3 linked regions of the Cricetulus griseus genome follow. The protein of the gene in region 2 interacts with the protein of the main gene of each other region in a pairwise test. Links are inferred from orthologs where the notes say so. Each region holds a gene or a part of one and is shown on either strand. Other genes may lie near its edges.

What was found.
Region 1: the proteins of Efemp2 (region 2) and Il16 interact in binary tests that used the Homo sapiens proteins (3 or more experiments, as listed by UniProt). The two-hybrid records come from large-scale screens. The link is inferred for Cricetulus griseus from reciprocal best matches to the Homo sapiens genes EFEMP2 and IL16.
Region 3: the proteins of Efemp2 (region 2) and Hoxa1 interact in a two-hybrid assay, tested with the Homo sapiens proteins (2 studies listed by BioGRID and IntAct). The link is inferred for Cricetulus griseus from reciprocal best matches to the Homo sapiens genes EFEMP2 and HOXA1.

Annotation. Positions count from the first base shown.
Region 1 is NC_048596.1:113,938,552-113,944,671, reverse strand, and holds the start of Il16 (pro-interleukin-16), read right to left. Parts: upstream 3,612-6,120; coding exon 3,407-3,611; intron 1-3,406. UniProt on the Homo sapiens protein: Interleukin-16 stimulates a migratory response in CD4+ lymphocytes, monocytes, and eosinophils. Primes CD4+ T-cells for IL-2 and IL-15 responsiveness. Also induces T-lymphocyte expression of interleukin 2 receptor. Ligand for CD4.
Region 2 is NC_048596.1:53,862,720-53,868,766, forward strand, and holds the start of Efemp2 (EGF-containing fibulin-like extracellular matrix protein 2 precursor), read right to left. Parts: upstream 4,171-6,047; 5' UTR 3,881-4,170; coding exon 3,770-3,880; intron 3,534-3,769; coding exon 3,485-3,533; intron 2,868-3,484; coding exon 2,661-2,867; intron 1,296-2,660; coding exon 1,173-1,295; intron 932-1,172; coding exon 815-931; intron 687-814; coding exon 567-686; intron 1-566. UniProt on the Homo sapiens protein: Plays a crucial role in elastic fiber formation in tissue, and in the formation of ultrastructural connections between elastic laminae and smooth muscle cells in the aorta, therefore participates in terminal differentiation and maturation of smooth muscle cell (SMC) and in the mechanical properties and wall integrity maintenance of the aorta.
Region 3 is NC_048601.1:89,185,621-89,191,596, reverse strand, and holds Hoxa1 (homeobox protein Hox-A1), read right to left. Parts: upstream 3,612-5,976; 5' UTR 3,498-3,611; coding exon 2,849-3,497; intron 2,320-2,848; coding exon 1,964-2,319; 3' UTR 864-1,963; downstream 1-863. UniProt on the Homo sapiens protein: Sequence-specific transcription factor. Regulates multiple developmental processes including brainstem, inner and outer ear, abducens nerve and cardiovascular development and morphogenesis as well as cognition and behavior.

The DNA.
Region 1 (6,120 bases), about 60 Mb from region 2:
AATGGGCATAGCGAAACACACATTTAATCTAAGCACTCAGGAGGCAGAGGCAGGTGTATCTCTGTGAACTTGAGGCTAGCCTGGTCTATATAGCATGCTCCAGGCCAGCCAGAGCTACACAGAGAGGTTATGTCTCAAAAGAAAGAAAGGAAGAAAGAAAGAAAGAAAGAAAGAAAGAAAGAAAGAACAAAGATGGTATTACTCACTCATATATGGATTTTAGACATAGAACAAAGGAGTACCAGCCTACAATCCACACTGCCAGAGAAGCTAGGAAACAAGGAGGACCCTAAGAGAGACATATGTGCTCCCCCTGAGAAGGGGAAAGGAACAAGAGCTCTTGAGCTAATTGGGAGCATGGAGGAGGGGAAAGGGCGCTAGAAGAAAGAGAAGGGGAGAAGAGGAGGGGAGAGGAGGACATGAGAGAGCAGGAAGATTTAGTCAGGGAAGAACAGAGGAGAGAAAGAAAAGAGATACTATAATAGAGGGAGTCATTATAGGTTTAAAGAGAATTCTGGCACTAGGGAAATGTCCAGAGATCTACAATTTTGACCCCAACTAACTATCTAACAATAGTGGAGAGGCTACCTTAAATGCCCTTCTCCAATAATGATATTGAAGAGTACCTTATATACCATCCTAGAGCCTTCATCCAGTAGCTGATGGAAGCAGCAGCGGAAACCCACAGCTAAACACTGAGCTGAACTCTGGAATCCAGTTGCAGAGAGGGAGGAGTGATGAGCAAAGGAGTCAAGACCAGGCTCCAGAAATCCACAGAAACAGCTGACCTGAACAAGGGGGAGCTCATGGACTCCAGACTGAGAGCTGGGAAACCAGCACAGGACTGATCCAGACTGAACAAGGATGTCAGTTAGGAGGTCTGGGCAATCTATGGGGCCTCTGGTAGTGGATCAGTATTTATTCCTAGTATATGAATGGACTTGGGAGCCCACTTCACATAGAGGGATACTCTCTCAGCCTAGACACATGGGGGAGGGTCTAGGCCCTGCTCCAAATGATATGATAGACTTTGAAGATCCCCATAGAAGGCCTCACTCTCCCTGGGGAGCAGAAAGAGGTTGAGATGGGGGTGGGGGGTAGGGGAGGAGGGGAGGGAGAGGGAACTGGGATTGACATGTAAAAAAGCTTGTTTCTAATTTAAAATTGGTCTAATTACAATTATAAAAATAAAAAATAATAATTAATAGTAGCACCAGCATTTGTAAAAAAAAAAGAAAGAAATATGCTGTGTTGATACCATAAAATGTTTCTATATTTTTAATTAAACGTAATTTAGATAAAATACACTTTCAACAAAAATGATATGTATGACAGTCTCAAAGAACTAATAAATATTACTTAAAGAATTTTTTAAATGTTTCGAACATATATTAAAGTAAAAAAACCAAAAGTGTTGGAATAAAGCCAAATAGGGAAACATAGTAAGTACTCCAGTTTCTGAAATATAGTCTGTCAGTTGACTACTGTCACCATGTCTGCCATTTTGTCACTATTACTTAAAGCTAAAAAGTCTCCTCTGACTCCTTCATCCACAGTCTAGGAATCTTGAATGTCAAGTGTATTATTGTTGTTACCTAACTGGTTAGCTACTTTGTTTTTCATTTTTGTAGATGGGCTCACACAACCTAGGCAGGTGTTGTTGAGTCACAGTCCCAGCCCACTTAGGTCATTTCTTAGAAGGTCAGTAATTGAAGCTTTAACCTTCAGCTTACACTCCATTCTCAACAAGAGAGTTGTGGTTATTGTCAACTAATTTTCAATTTTGTATCTTTTAGTTTCTTGATTTTTATTAGAAAATTACAGCTTAATTGTTTTGTAGCAATGGGGATGTATCTGGGCATGTGGTTTTTATTTGTTGGCATGTGTTAAGGTTGACTTTGTAAGATGGCATATGAGATGAGTAAGTGTTCTAAGTGTTCTTTGAACTATCATTTGCACAGAGAGAGGCTGACAGCTCATATGGCCTGCCTCCTCTCTCTCTCTGTCTCTCTCTCTTTCTCTCATATGCAGACATACTTTATTATCTGCTTTTGATGATTATTTCAGTGGTGGGAAAAACATGCTGCCCAGATATCACCTGTGCAGCAAATATGGCAGCCTCCCAACCTCCTTCAGCAACTGCTGTGACCATTCCTGCTCTTGTGTGCCACCCTTGGAGGATGAGGAGAAAAGAGGAAGGGCAGACATGTGAGACTGGACCAGCTACTGACCTCAGACCCTTGCTGTAGCTCAAGGATCTACTCACCCAGTTAGGCAAACATAAGGACAGAAAAAGAAAGGAGAGCTCATGGCCAACTGGGCCAGAAGTCCTTGTCTTGGACAACAGGGAAATGGCCTCTGTGGCCAAAGAGAAGTCTGGCACACTCCAGGGTACAGGGTCACATCCCCACACTTCTCTGTCTCATTGAGGTTCTAGAATACTGCTTGTTTTTTTAAGCTTCTATGATCTCAATCAAAGTTTGAGTTTACATTTTTTAATACCATGAAATATACCATTAGCCACAATAAGATACACAGGTAAGCAAATGCTTATGAATTAATAAGTAAGCTAATATAACTAAAACAAAACTTCATCACACAATACCTTTACTGTGCTAGAAAAAGAAAAAACACTAGAAAGTTCATGAAATATATGACTGTGGAAGGGAGATGCCACAGTGGTAAAGCACTTGCCCTTCAAGGATAAAGACCAGAGTTTCAAACCTCAGCACCCAGAGGAATGCACAGTTGGTGTGGCAGCCTACCTATAAACTCAGCATGTGGGAAGCTGAGCCAAGAGATTCCCCGGAACAAGCCAGATAACTAAGCTAGTCAAATTGATCAGTGAAAGCCCTGCTCAGTGATCAATAAGGAAGATACCCACACCAACTTCTGAGCCTCACATGCAAGAGCACATACATACACAGGCAGCCACCCACATGTGTGCCTACACACGGGAGCACACACACACACACACACACATACACACACACACACACACACACACACACACACACACACACACACACTACACACATACACATGCAAAAAGATTGATTTTGTGAAGGATCTTCTATATTTGTTTACCCTACATATATACATACAGATGTTGAATTTCTCAACATCTGTATTGATTCCCAGTCTACTTGAGAGTTACATTGGAAACCATGAGCCTGAAGCTTCCTTTGATGTTTCCAGGTGGTTTCTGTGGGATGTGTGCTTGGAGTTCTCATTTCATTGGATTCTCTGAGTCTCTCTATGTGCCCTTGGGTCTCACAGCACTGCCTGATGTGGAAGAATCCTGATTTCAATAGACCCTTTTCTGTCACCTTTTGGGGGCTAAGTTCCCTGCTGAGCTTTTTCCTATGCTGGGGCAAGATTGAGTAAAGGACTCAGAGTTACTCACGATTAGCCTGGCCAGGTAAGAGATGCCATGAGCAGAAGAGAAGGGGTGCCGGTCCCTGACATCCCAGCCGCGGGGAGCGCCTGTGGGTATGCCAAAGTGCATATTGGTGGTGACCACCTCCAGCTGGCAGAGCAGGGCAGCCATATCCTAGCTGCTGTACCTGTCCATTACAGATGTACTTCTGGCCCCACGGTGCAAGACCCATGAAGATCCTTATTCTGCATGGGTCCTGACATCTGGGTCACAGTGCAGGGAGCTAGCAGCCTAGTTGCTGCTTCTGTGGCATCAACTTCTCTCCTGCAGCAACGCATGTAGCAGGCAGCACAGCTCCTGATTCTCTGCCTTCCTCTCCCCAGGCAGCGTGCTCACGCACAAGCTGCGCTCAGCAACCCCATCTGCTCTGTGCTCTTTCGGGCAGGGACCTCTTTGTGTTTCTGGCAGACACCAGGCAACCTTGTCTAATTACGAGACTGACACGTATGGGCCCTAATTTCAGCAGAGATCCGAAAGAAGAACTTGGAGTTCATTGCTGTTGCTGATTCCAAGCTGCCTCCCAAACAGAACCATGGGGCTCTTAGAGCCATTTGTTTATTTTCACTGTCTTGAAGTTTTGTTACCCATGTACAGGAGTGTGTGGCTGCCAAGAGTGAGCTGCATTTTTAGATGAAGACCCATCTCACATACAGAAATGTATTGCCAGTCTAATAGGCAGTGCAGACACAAAGAATTCCCTCTCCTGATAAAGTGTGTGTGCATGTGTGCCTGTGCACACGCACAGGAGCACACTCTCTGCAATATGCACATGCTCAAGAGCTATATACATGGATGTACTCCCCTGTTCATGCACCCTTGGAGGCAGTAGGTCAACACAGATGTCTTTCTTCTATTGCTAGCAATCTTACTTTTTAACCTGAAGATTGCTGTTTTGGATAGGTTGACTGGCCAGCAAGCCCCAGGATCTGCCTATCAGTCTGCCCAGTGCAAAGCTCACAGACACAAGTTGCTGAGCCCACTTTTATATGAGTACTGGGGATCTGAACTCAGGTCCTTGTGCTTGGGTGGCAAGCACTTTACCCACTGCAGCGTCTTTCCAATCTCTAGCATCACGGTTGGTGTTCATCCATACAACAGTCAGTTTCTAAGTGTGATTCACTGTGATTCAGGCACTTGGGTCACACAGGACAAAGACATGGTCCCCTGAAGCCTACTGGGGACCACAGACATAGATGGACACTATTCCTTGTGTGGGAATTTCTACAGCAGATGCTTGAGTTAAGTGTTATGGCTGATGTGACTCTTTGGAGCATCTCACCAAAGACCTACCCGTGCCAACAGACTTGGGAGCTGAATGAGGGGTCAGAGATTGTGTGGCCCTTTGGCATTTGGTTCAGACAAATCTCTTGGTGGCAGTGGAGCTTGAGGGTGTAGAAAAGAGGGGACAGGGATGCAATTAAAATTTAAGTTGCTCCTTAGGAATATGAGCTCTGTGCTGTGACCAAATTCAACTCAAGGTGTGCCCTACCTGCCCAAGTTCTCAGGTTTCTCATGAGGGGATCCAGAAGACAGGAAACAGAGAGTTGACAAAAAGGCAGGTCCTTGGCTTTTGGTCTGATTTCTCCTAAAATACTTCTGCCTCAGTTCTTTGTATGAGCATTCAGAAACTAATTCTAAAATTTAGTTTAAATTTTAAACCTCCAAGGAAGCCAGGTGGTGGTGGTGCATGCCTTTAATCCCAGCACTCAGGAGGCAGAGACAGGTGGATCTCTGTAAGTTCGAGGCCAGCCTGGTCCACAAACCAAGATCCAGGACAGTCGGAGCTACACAGAGTAACCCTGACTCGAAAAAAATAGTGTTTTTTAAGTGTGTGTGTGTGTGTGTGTGTGTGTGTGTGTGTGTGTGTGTGTGTGTGCAAGCATGCACATGGGGAAAACTAGAAGACAACCTGGTGGATTTGGTTCTCTCCTTCCACCATCACTGGGGTTCCAGGCATTGGACTCAGGCCACTAGGCTTATATGAGAAGTGTCTTTACCCCCAGCCACCTTGCCAGTGAATGCTGTTCTGTTATGTTTTTACTCGGAGCATATATAACCACTTTGTGTTTGCTGAGGTGTGTCTTGGGACAGTAATGAGCATGAAGCCCGGAGTCAGAGGCTGCAGGTAAGGCCCAGAAGGCATCCCTGAGTGAACCCCACCATTCAGGTGGAACCACAACACGTGACCTCATGGACAATGTGTGAAAAGAAGTCAGCGCAGTGTCTGGGGCTGGAACAATGCCTAAGAAGGGGCAAGGCAGTAAGGAATGAGTGCCTAGCTGGAGCTTCCACTTCCACTTCCACAGGGCATTCTGGCAGCTCCTAGGCAAGGGAAGGGCCTCTGCTGGGCTCAGAAGAACTGGCCACTGTGTAACTGCAGGGCAGAGAGAAGGACAAAGAAAGCAGTGGTCTGGTAATCTTCTTTCAGGGAGCTGACTAAATAAGGAGGGAAGCTATAGAGAGTAGTCACCCCAGGCTACTTCTGGAGGCTCCAACATGGCTTCAGCTGCCATCTTTGGGTAGATCAAACAGAAAGGGACAGTTTTCCCAAATAAGAGCAGACAGAGAGATGCTGCCCTGTGACTCCAGGGCACCTGCTTCTCTTCTCTCTCATGTTAGTCACCTGAGTCCCCAACAAGAGGCAATCACACTAAGAGCTGGAGGATCGGATTAGCACCTCT
Region 2 (6,047 bases):
CGAGAAGCCTGGGATCAAGCCCTGGTCCCATCTCATCCTTTCTGTCTGGACTTTGACAAGTCACTTCATCTCTAAGTGGAAAGATGAAAGGTACCATTTTCTCTGGGCTTTTTGCTTGCTTTTTTACAATTCTGCCAACATACCTGGAGGAATTAGTGTCCTGTTTGCAAAAGCAAATCACCATTGACCAGACTAAATGAGAATGTAAGTTATAAACAAGTGGTGCTCCCCACTTTTGCTGCCTGAGACTTGATGAAGCCTTTTATCATGGTCCCTCTCCATATCCAAACAACCTATTTACAATAGAAATGTGCCCAGAAAGAAGAGAGACTTGTCCTAGTGCAGGATTCCAGTGCAAGTCAACTCAACTTCCAGGAAGACTGGCACCTACATCCTTTCCTGTCTCTCCAGCAAGCTTCAGTAGGGCCTCCCATAGCATCCCCACCCTCAGCGACCAGCTCAGGATACAGAGAATGAGACATGGAAGCCTCAAACAAACGACTGTGTGACTAGAGTTGGTCCTGGGAGGACCAATGCACTATCCAGCAGCACAAGTGGACTCTCACCACTGCAGGAGAAGCCATCCCGGTGCAGTTCATAGCCTTGGTTACAACGACACAAGAAGGTCCCATAGGAGTTGAAGCAGCGTTGCTCACATGGGGCTCCCATGTCACACTCATTCACATCTGAGGATGCCAGAGAAAACAGGAGTGGTGAAAGCAGAGGCACTGCCCAGAGTCCCACTCTACATGGGCTTAGTGAGGAGATCCTGCCCCTATCCCATACATCTCTACCTAGGACCCCAGAGTCTCACCCACACAAGAACGGTTGTTAGGACCCAGCTGGAATCCTGGCTCACACTGGCAGCGAAAAGAGCCTGGCAGGTTCACACATCGATGCTGGCAATATCGGTAGCGACACTCGTCTATGTCTGCAATGGAGGCAGGGGAGGGGTAAGCAGGACACAAGTCAGGTGGGGCCTGAGCAGGCCGAGACAAAGGCCTCAGCACGCATGCTTACTCCTGTCTTTTTCAGGGACCTGAGTTGAGCCACCGACATATAGTCTTCTGTGTCTAATGACAGGAGGGTACCAGCAGCAGAGGACTAGGATAAGGATAAGGTCAGACCAAAGTCACAAAGCAAGAACTAGGAAAGCCACTCTCTGAACTCACCCACGCATTCGGGCCCAACTTTTCGGTAACCATCAGGGCAGGTGCATTGGTAGGAACCAGGCAGGTTATGACAGTCTTGGCTAGGGCGACAGTCATGCAAAGCCTGGGCGCACTCGTCCACATCTGTGGGAGACACCATGCAGCCCTTACCCAGAGTCCCACATGTTACTGACCATGTCAGCACATCAACTTGGAAGGAGGTGGCTCACACCAGACTTCATTCACATGGGCACATGGGTAGCTGGCACCAAAATATGAAGATAGGATATAGGTCCTCCCAACAGCACAAGAAAACAGTCCACCAGGAAAAGCACCCATTAGCTGAGCATATAAAACAAGGCCTTGTCAGGTCTGGTGGCACACACTTTTAATTCTAACACCCAGGAGGCAGAAGCAGGAGGATCCCTCTGAGTTCCAAGCCAGCCAGAGCTATAGAGTTCCAAGCCAGCTAGAACTGGCTTAAAAATAAATGAGGCGTTGTCCATTCACACCCTCAGCTGACTCTAGACCAGGATCTTCCCTCCTCCAAAGCCAGCGGTTTCCAAGGCCGAGACCTGATAAAGAGCTGGCAAGAGGCTGGGAGCAGAGCTCTAGCATGTCTGCACAGGAAGTGAGGGAGCTGCTGGGGACTTCCTGGGCCAGCAGACCATGCACCAGGCCTGCTGCAGGTGAGGGTTCAGATGTTTCTCTGAGGAGCCAGAGGCTTCTCTCAGCAAGGAAGGAACATGAGGTCTGCGGTATTTAGTGTGGAAAATTACTTTATTTATGTTAGTTACTGCTTTTGAGATAGGCTCTCATGTAGCTCAGGGTGGCCTCAAACTCCTTATGCAACTGAGGTAACCTTTAACTTCCAATCTTCTTTTCTCTACCTCCCTGGTGGTGGGATTACAAGTGTGTGCTGGGGATCAAACCCAGAGACTCTGTCTCAAAAAACAAAGTACACAGTCCTGCAGTGGTGGCACACACCTTTAGTCCCAGCACTCAGCACTAGGGAGTCAGAGGCAGGCAGATCTCTAAGTTCTAGGCCAACCTGGACTACAGAGTGAGTTCCAGGACAGCCAGGGCTACACAGAGAAATCCTATCTCGAAGAACAAGGTGCTAGGGAGGGACAATGAGAGAGAACAAATATGAAGTGTGTCAGGAGAATGATACCATGATTTTAAAAACTTTCACTTTGCTTCTTTTATTTATTTTTAAATTTACTTTTTTATTTTATGTGCATTGGTGTTTTGCCATGGGTACCAGGTCCCCTGAATTAGAATTACAGACAGTTGTGAGCCACCATGTGGTTGCTGGGAATTGAACCCAGGTCCTCTGGAAGAGCAGCCAGTGCTCTTTACCTCTAAGCCATCTCTCCAGCGCCCCCCTTTGTTTTCTTTTGGTTTTTACTTTTCTTTTTACTTTATACACTAAATACAAAATTAATTTTAAAAAGACATGTAAGAGGTCTGGAAGCATTGGTGCCAGCCAGCATGGCTCCCACTTACCCACACAGCTCTCCTGTTCATCAGGTTCATAGCCTGGTGGGCAAGGATTGGGGTGTTGAGCAGGGGGCACTGGTGGTGGAGGGCCTTCGCCATGTAGATCATTAATGACAGCCGCAGATCGAGGCAGACACAAATAGCCCCCATAGTGGTTGATGCATTTCATTTCGCCCTTGCAGGCCTCGGGGATGGTCAGGCACTCGTTGACATCTGCAGAAAGGGGCCTGCTGGGCACAGCCAGTCACCTGGGCTGGCCCTGGAGGTAGTGGGAGGCAGAATCCCAGCTTGGCCTTCTCTAAGCTGAGCAACAGAGCAAGGTTTTCTCTCTGCTCAGCAAATTAAGGCTGATGACCCAGAACCCCTCCCAGTGATTTGCAGGACTGGGGATAGGGCCACCTATTTTCGCCGTTGTCCCTATTCTCCTGCCTCCAAGTGAGTTTCCATTCCTCCTCAAAACCCTGCCTCTACCTCTGCCCCAGAGTAATTTGCAGGCCTCCAAACCCACAGAGTGTGTACTGCTCTCCCAGGTTGCACTGGGATAAAGAGCTGGGCTAGGAGAGTAGAGGGCAGTTGGCGGAAGGTGTGCAGATCTCCGTTTCTCTGGGCAGTCACCAGGTGCTCTCCTGTCTACTGCAAATAGAGGCAGAGTTCATTGCACTTCTTGAAGGGGTAGGACTCCTAATTGAGTGGCTGGCTTTGGCTCAGCCAAGCTGGACAGTGAAAAGGCCATTAGGTTCCTGCAGCTGGTCTAGGAGCCAGGTTATCCCTGGGAAACAATAGTTGCCTTCCCAGTTCCTGAAAATGGCTAGTATCCCAGGCATACTCACCCCGGCAGTGCTGGCTGTCTGCGTCCCACTCATAGCCATCTGTACATTCCTGGAAGGGGACCCCAAGTGGCCAGTGACCACTCTGGAAGTCTCCTCCAACTAGCCAGAACAAGGCCAGGGCCTGAGCTCAGTTATGCTCGGGTCAATTCACACAATGACTCCCAGTCTTCCACCAACCAAGCAGAGGAGAGTCTTCCCCAGGCACCCCAAGATCCTGGTCCTTCCCATCCCATCCCATCCCATCCCATCCCATCCCATCCCATCCCATCCCAAGCTGGTCCCCACCGTGTAGCTGTCCGGCTCTTCCGAATCCTGTGGAGACGCTGCTCCCAAGAGCAACAGCAGGAGCGCCCAGAGCAGTAAAGACCCGGGAAGGCAGGAGGCAAAAGGGAGCATCCTGGGGCTGGGAGGTAGTGGGCAGGGGTCAGGGGCCTCTGCCACGACACCCCCCATTCCCTGTATCAGGAAGGGGACACTGGATTCCCGGCTGTCTCAGAACTGTGCTGGGAGCACCGGAGCCTTCCAGAGTTGGGGGCCGAGTCCTTTCGCAGGCCTGGGGCTCGCAGGCCCGCAATCCCGGACCGCCCCGCCCCCGCCCCGCGAGTCGTGGAGCGCAGGCCTCTCGGCTTGGCGTAGCGCGGACCCGGCCGCGACACGGCCCGCGCCCTCCCTCCGCTGGCGGCCACTCACTCGTTGACTCCGGCAGTGCCTGCGGGCGGACGGACGGACCGGACCGCGCAGCTCGCTGGACGCGCGGCCCCAGGAAGCGCCCCCGCCCGCCCGCCCGCCCGCCCGCCCGCCCGCCGCGGCCCACCCCGGCGCCTCCGCCCGCCCTTCGGCGGATTCCTGAGCCCGCGCCAGGGGGAGGGACCCCGACCCCCCGGCTTCTCCACCCCGGGCCGGCCACAGGCCCCCACCCGGTCCCCCGCGGCGCCGCCTGGAGGCGCCTGCGGGCGCCCAGCCAGAGTTCCCTAACGCTTGGGTCCCGGGGCCACTGACCTTGATGTTTGGCCCCCAAATTCACCTGGGGACCCCGGGCCCTCATTCAAAATGTTGTCCTAGCCACCTAGACCCTATCCAACCTGGTCCTCTAGAATCCCTGAGTGTGCACTCGCACCTCAGCTGTAGCTAAACACCCAGACCCTGAATCTGCGCCTCTCAGAACCTACTCGCCACTTATTTTCTCAAACCTCCAAATCCTACTACTTGCAGAATTTTATCCTGTGCTCCCCACATCATCAGTTAGATGGTCTCAAACATTCATCCAAGGTTTCCGGACATAAAGTTAATTGTCCCTCTCCCTCCGGCCATGAGCTCCGCGGCCTCCAGGTGGTCGCTCTACTCAGGGCACTGCTTCCCCGGAGCCTGCCTGCACAAAGCTACGCTAATGTGGGGGTGAGGGCAGCTGTCGTCTTGGCCCGAAATGAATGGAACCCCCGAGAAACTGGCAAACTTGAACTTGGGCGCAGAGGACACTAGGGCCCACTGCCAGCCCTTTTCCGACCCTCTTTCCCTTCAGGTCCCCCACCCAGTTTCCGTCTTGGTCCCCAGCAAAGATCATGCCTTGAGGGAGGAGCCGGTGTGCCTCCGGCTCCCAGGAAGGGGCGAATGGGCGGGACTTCGCGTTGCCCACGTCTCAGGGCGGGACTAGACGGGAAAGGACTGCGTGTCCAGGGTTCCCTTGCCTGGCCCTTGCTGGTTACGGCAATAGCCTGACCTTCCTTTCCCTTACCCAACCTCTTTCCAGTCTTTCTTTCTTTGTTTTATCTTTTCGAGACAGGTTCTCACAAGTAGTTCTGGCTGTCCTGGAACTCACTATGTAGATCCACCTGCCTCTTGCCTCCCAGGTGCTGGGATGAAACGCGTGTGTCACCATGCCCAGCTCTGCCATGATTTAAAAAATGTATTTGCCTCATTTCAAGGACTTGTCTATATGTAGTATATCCCTGTGTGCCTACGTACCAGTGTAGGATATTGTGTCACTGAATCTAGAGTTCACTATTTCTGCCCGTCTCCACCTCCCAGGACCTCCTGCACTGGGGTTTCACACAGGCATCACCACCACAATTGGCTTTTGTGCTGGTGCTGAGAATCTGAACTCAGGCCTTCATGTTTTGTAGTGAGCTACCTCCCCGGCTTCCATTGCCTTTGTTTTTTTTCTAAAGAAAAATATTTTAATGATGTGTTTAATTATGTGTGCATCTATGTACTGGTATACATACCTGAGTGCAGGTGCCCAGGGGCCAGAGGTGTTCCCTGGATCTGGAGTTACTGACAGCTCTGAGCTGCCTGATGTGGGTGCTGAGAACCAAATTCAGGTCATCTGAAAGAGGAATACTGCAGCCATTTCTACAGCCCTGTTTTTTGTTTTGTTTTGTTTTTAAAGCAGTAGAGGAGTAGGGGTGTATCTCAGTGGTACCATGTTGTTTAGGATGACGAGGACTCCAAGGTTCAATCCCAGTACACACACACACACACACACACACACACACACACCACGTAGAACAAAGCACAGAGAGACAAGAAAGGCATGGGGAGTGAGTGAAGTCTTGAGTGAATGTGT
Region 3 (5,976 bases), on a different chromosome or scaffold from region 2:
TCCCATCCCCAGCACCACCAGGAAAAGAGTTAGAAAATGTTGCTTAAACCCTGAAATATGTTAAAAAATAAAAGGAAATTGGCAAGAGGTCTAGAACAGCTCTGTTGAATGTCATCATTTGTTGACTCCCTCTGAGATCTGACACATGCCTCTATCAGAAACAACTTGGATACACAAAGATGTGAGCTGGTTTTCATAAGGTCAACTGGAAGAATCTGAATCTAGAGACTATCAACTTCTGCCCAGCCTATGTGGCATGGAATTAGAAATGGAGAGCCTTTGCAGTCATGATGGCAATGACATGAAAGTTGAATTTGAAGGGATAAGATTGCAATGCAGAGATGTAAGGGAGTGGTTGAAAGAATGGATATTGATAGAAAGAACAGGGGGTGGGAGGCAGACCATACTCAACTTAAAAGATACTTTTATACTGAAGCTGATTAAATGTGAATCTCTCTGCCGTTGGTTCTCTAATGTGAGGAAAGACTGACTGAAGACAGTTTTCAGCTTTTGAAGGGGCTCTGTTTATATATGTGTCAACATTCAGTTGGAGGTGAAAAGGTTAGCACTTGACCCGGGAAGTATCCATGTTTGTTTCAAAAATAGATCTCCTTCATACATTGCTTCACTAGTTTTTCCATTTTGAACTTTGGTTATAATAAAGGAGTGGTTGTTATGATAAAGAGATCAGTGCATTAGCTAGACATTGGTTGGATGAGGCTATACTTATAAGGAATGCTGCAAGCTACATGACAATGGAGGGCCCACTTCTTTGAAAATAAATACCACCCTTCTGTCCTTCCCCATATATCCTTCCCCTTACTTTGTAGTAAGACACAAACTGTAGCCCAGCCAAATACACAGATGCTTAAGCATACCCAAAACTTGAATATTTTTTATTACAGACGTCTTAAGACCCGTAAACTCTGCTCTGGATCACATCCCTCTGGGATCTCAGAGCTGTTCATGATTGTACAGGAAAGGGGGACTATCGTAGGCTCACAAAAGATAACTGATAGAACTCAGTGTGGTACTTCAGGGACATCAAAACATTGTGCGACATGCAGAAGACTATTCACGAATCACACAAAATATACATTCATTGTGCCATCACATTAACAATTAGCTGAAAATACATTGTATCCAGCCAAGATAACTGTGGAAAGAAAGGGTGACTGAAAAGAGTACCTTTAGGTTACAAATAATCCAGCACACTTTTTAAGTGGAGGGTGGCCAGAGAAGCAAGAAGAAATCGGTAATTTGGGAAGTCTTGGCACAGCAAAGGTTCTGAACTTTGGGCTTCTCAGGCCTTCTTGACTCTGCAAGAGCAAATTGAGGCTACCTTTTGAGGAATCTGGTTCTGTTTGAATGCCAGGGTCCCCCCTTTTTTGTCCACCCATAATCACCAGTTTTGGAAGTTTGCCCACCCTGTTTGATATAGTTCTGCATGTTTCTAGAAAATCTGTATAAAGATAAATCTCTCAAGAGAAAGTTAAGGGGTGAATTAATTGTGTAAACACACTCAGTCAATCTCTTCTTCATGAGCCTTTGGATACTCTCTTTTTTGTGTGTCCTACTTAAGAGCCAGGTAGAGAAGAACAATATACAGATAAAAGGTGAGATGCCTCCCTTCTTCAAATGCCTGCTGGCAAAGGGTACTGTCCTCCAAGGGACATCTGAAAGGAACCATGGGTTGTGTAAAAAAAACTCTCACAACAGTGAGGAAGGAATTTTGGGGGCCACCAGAAATTGATATGGGCACCCGATGTGGATTAAGGATTTAATTTACAACCAAGTCTCCAGAATTCTATGGAACTACATTATGTTGCCCAGGAGCTCTCTGGATTGGACCAGAAAGAAAAAGAGAGACTGTAAAGGAAGAAAGATAAGCTAGAGATGTGCTTTGGGTAAGAAACCCTAGCCCAGGGAGAAGCCTGGACTACGGAGCTGGGCTGGAGTGGCCTCAATGGGAGGTAGGCAGGGTGTCTGAGGTAGATGATGCTGGAGAAGGAACGCAGGGCGAGGAGCTGGATTTCTCAGAAGATTCTTCAGCTTTCTCGTCGCTTCCAGGAGGAGTGGCTGGAGAAATGGGCAGGAGCCCCTCCTTCTCACGCTTCTTCTGCTTCATGCGGCGATTCTGGAACCAGATCTTCACCTGGGTCTCGTTGAGCTGCAGGGACGCGGCTATCTCCACCCTGCGCGCTCGTGTCAGGTACTTGTTGAAGTGGAACTCCTTCTCCAGCTCCGTGAGCTGCTTGGTGGTGAAGTTGGTGCGCACTGCGTTGGGTTGACCCACATAGCCATACTCTCCAACTTTCCCTGGGGTAACGGAGGAAGAGAGGAAAAGGTAAAAATTCTTTAACCCTTATCCGATTGCCCAATGTTCGGGGCAACATTCGGTTAACTGCTCAGCACAAACCCAGCTGGGAAGCTCTAGTGACAAACGATGTGTATGTAAAGTGTTAACCTGAAGTCAACCATTAGCGTGGTCAGGCTTCTGATTAATGGAGCCTGTAGATATTAACAAAACTCCACCACCACCGACACCTCCCACCCACACCACACCACACACACACACACACACACACACACACACACACACACACACACACACACACACGCTTCCTACTTCTAGACCACTGAAGCATCAGCCCCTTTGAAAATGCCAGGTCCAGAAACTGCTTTGCCCCAACACACCTGGGCATCCTACACCACACACTATAACTCCAGAAGACACTAGACAGAAGCAAGAACCCATCTTTTAAAATCATTAACTTTCCTAGGAAACTAAGCGCACCGGCCCCTTTCAAAATCAAGCAACATTTGTTTGCCAGCCGGCAGGACTCACCTGTTTTGGGAGGGTTTCTTTTGACTTTCATCCAGTCAAAGGTCTGCGCTGGAGAAGGCGTCTCTGAAGCAGGGGAGCGACAGGCTTCTTGGTGGCTGGCGTGGAGAGGGGATAAGGAGTTATTATACGTGGCCAGGGCCAGGCTCTGGTGCTCTTGTCCATAAGAGTGGTGGATATACTGAGGCGAGCCCACCGTGCCCCCAGCATAACCCTGGTGGTGGTGGTGGTGGTGATGCTGGACCATGGGAGATGAGAGGTTTCCAGAGTAAACAGCGGGAGCGCACGGGGAGTACCCACCACTTACGTCTGCTTCCTGATTTAATCCATAGGGGCCATAAGGCGCACTGAAGTTCTGCGCGCCATAGCTTGGACCACAACTCGAGTGGGAGTAGGAAACCCCCAGACTCCCAGAAGTCTGGTAAGTAGACGGCTGGGGGTGGTGATGGTGGTGGTGGTGGGGCGAGCTGATCTGCACCCCCCTGCCCACTAGGAAGCGGTCGTCGCCGCCGCAGCTGTTGGCACTGACCGCGCAGGATTGGAAAGTTGTAATCCCATGGTCAGAGGTGTAGGCTCGCGCAGAGCAGGTCCCGGAGTCGCCACTGCCAAGGATGGGATATTCCAGGAAGGAGCTCATTCTTGCATTGTCCATCTGTCACTGAGTGACTGGGTCCTGCGAAGCCCTGGGTGACCGTGCCAACTTTCTCACTTCCTCCATGGGACCAGAGAAGAAAAATGATATGAATGTACAGTGCGCAAGAGGCGGGGCGGGAAGGCGGAGGACTCAAGGGGAAGGACACGTGACTTTGTCAACCAATGGCTGAGCCGCCTGCGAAAGTTTACCGGCTGCGGCGGTGATGGATCACCGTTTCAGTGGCATTTAAATCCCCGGCGCTCCTCAGTCTAGGTGACGCGCGGTCGCCCCCCCAGGCTGCCCGGGCCGCGGCGGCTGCTCCGGCCGCTGCCAGAGCTGACTTGGAGCACTGGGGCCAAGGGGAGTAGAGATTGACTTCTGCGCGCGCCCGACTCTGCTCGCCTCCGCCTCCAGGATGTGGGGGATGGGAGGCGACCCTCCGCGGCCCTTTCCCCACCCAGCCTAGAAAGCTGAACTGACAAGAGGTGAGAGGGGACGAGGCCTCTCGGCTCTCTTGAGGCGGGCCTCGGTAGGCCAGAGCTCTCTGCATGGTCTCAAGGACCCTGGCGGAGCCGGGAGCAAACAGGGTGGGAAGGGTAGGAATCCAGCACACATCATCCCCTCAGCTCGGGATGGCCGCCACCACCCAGTCCCTGCAGAGACTTGAGCCTGGAACCCAGGCGCCTAGGGCAAGGCTGCGTCACTGCCTCACCCGCCTCGGAATGTAGGGGGACGTGCGCAAAGGATTGTCTGGGAGGAATCAGGGTGGGTGTGATGGGGACCAGAGAAAGAAAAGAAGCTACTGTCCTCATCCGGAGGGTCTCAGAGCCCTCTGCCCTGACTCCTACGGGCCAATAGCGTGGCTATGGGAGCTTCTGTAATTCGACCCCAGGGGGGCGGGGGAGCCCTAGGAACCCAGCTCTCTGGGAAAGTCCGGGTGTCTGCTCTCTTCTCTGCCCTCCCTCTTCTCTGGATCTCTTCCCCTTTCTCCTTCCCAGTCAGTCAGCTTTGCTCTTGGTAGTCCCTCAGGATCCGGAGCAACTCTGCTGCTGGAGTTTGAGGGTGGAAGGCAGATGAGAAAGATGACGCTAGCAGACGTGGCCGGCATGAGGGCCGAGCCTGAGCTGCAGGCCTTCTGTCTGCTCTTAGAGACCCAGGAGCTTGCTCGCTCCAGCGTAGGCCTCAGAGGGACGGAGGGACGGGACAGAAGGACGGATCGCACAGTTCTTACAAAGTATGCTGACCTCCCGCGTCACATTTCTCTCTTTCATAAGGGGCTTGCTTGTTAGGAGTGGGAAAACCTCCTCTTGCCACCGCCCCCTATTGCATGTCTGGGGGGTGGGGAGGGACTGGCAGGTGGGAGGGGCAGTGGACAGATGGCTGAGTGGATTGTATACTTTCCAACGGACTGTGTAGTTGCTTGTGTGAACCTTCAGGTCACTCCCCAGAGAGACACGTGCAAATGTGAGCATCATCCCAGGACAGGGGTCCTGTTTTCCATCAACCTCACCCCTACGATGATGCTGATGGTGTTGGTAATTGCTGTTTACTGTTAGGTTTAATGTCAGCCCTAGGCTTGAAGAGAGAAAAGGCCACACAGAGAATGAACGCGTTCTTAAGTAGGAGAAAGTCAGTGATCACCTAAGAAACCTTGCAAGCAATTCTGCACAGGTTTTATTCTGACCATGCTTCTAGACGTGAAATTATCAGAGTAATTTATGTGTGAGTTTGGGTGTTCTCTGTCTATAGAAAAAGGAAGTTTTGTTCAGAGCAGCCACTTTTCAAATGTGAGGTCACTCTTCAGACTTTGTTTTGTTCTCCACATATAGAAGTTGTGGTCCCCTCCACCCCTACCCCCAGTCCCAAACCTGACCATCCTCAGGGAGATCTAAGTAGACCTTGTGTCTGGTCTTCCTCAGTAGCAACCACTTATTTGAGGAGTGGTGTTTCTCTGTGACCTTTGACTCACCCCCAAGGCTTGGTTAAGGGGGAGCAAGGACTGGAAAGTTTCCCCTGCTTTAGCTTCAGCTCCTGAGGAATCATCAGAGGAAAGCAAGGTAGACCTCCCTGAGGAGGTTGTCTTGGGAGGGCAGTCCTCCAGCTATGAAGAAAGCAGGGACTCCTGTGGGTCGGCAGGAAGTGAGAGGCTCAATGGAGTGAGTGCTGGTGAGCTGCTCATTTAGCAGGAGACGTCCATTCCTTCTCCCCCTTGCCTCTTTCCTGGCCTTCCGTGGGCTTCCCCTCCGGATTTGCATTAACATGCTAGCTCCAGGACTGGGGCCTCAAAGCTGCCCCAGGCCTCTGTCGGCCTGCTTGTGCTAGTTCTCACTCCCTTCAGCCCTCTCCCTCCACCTTTGTTTTCCTGAACAGACTAGATGGGGTGCTTTCCTCTCGAGATCACAGGCAGGCACTGGAACCCGGCCCACAGACACCCGGGCTTCCACAGACCTTGCCCTATTAACTGCAGGCTCGGCCTCTGCCGGCTGCGGCTGCGGCC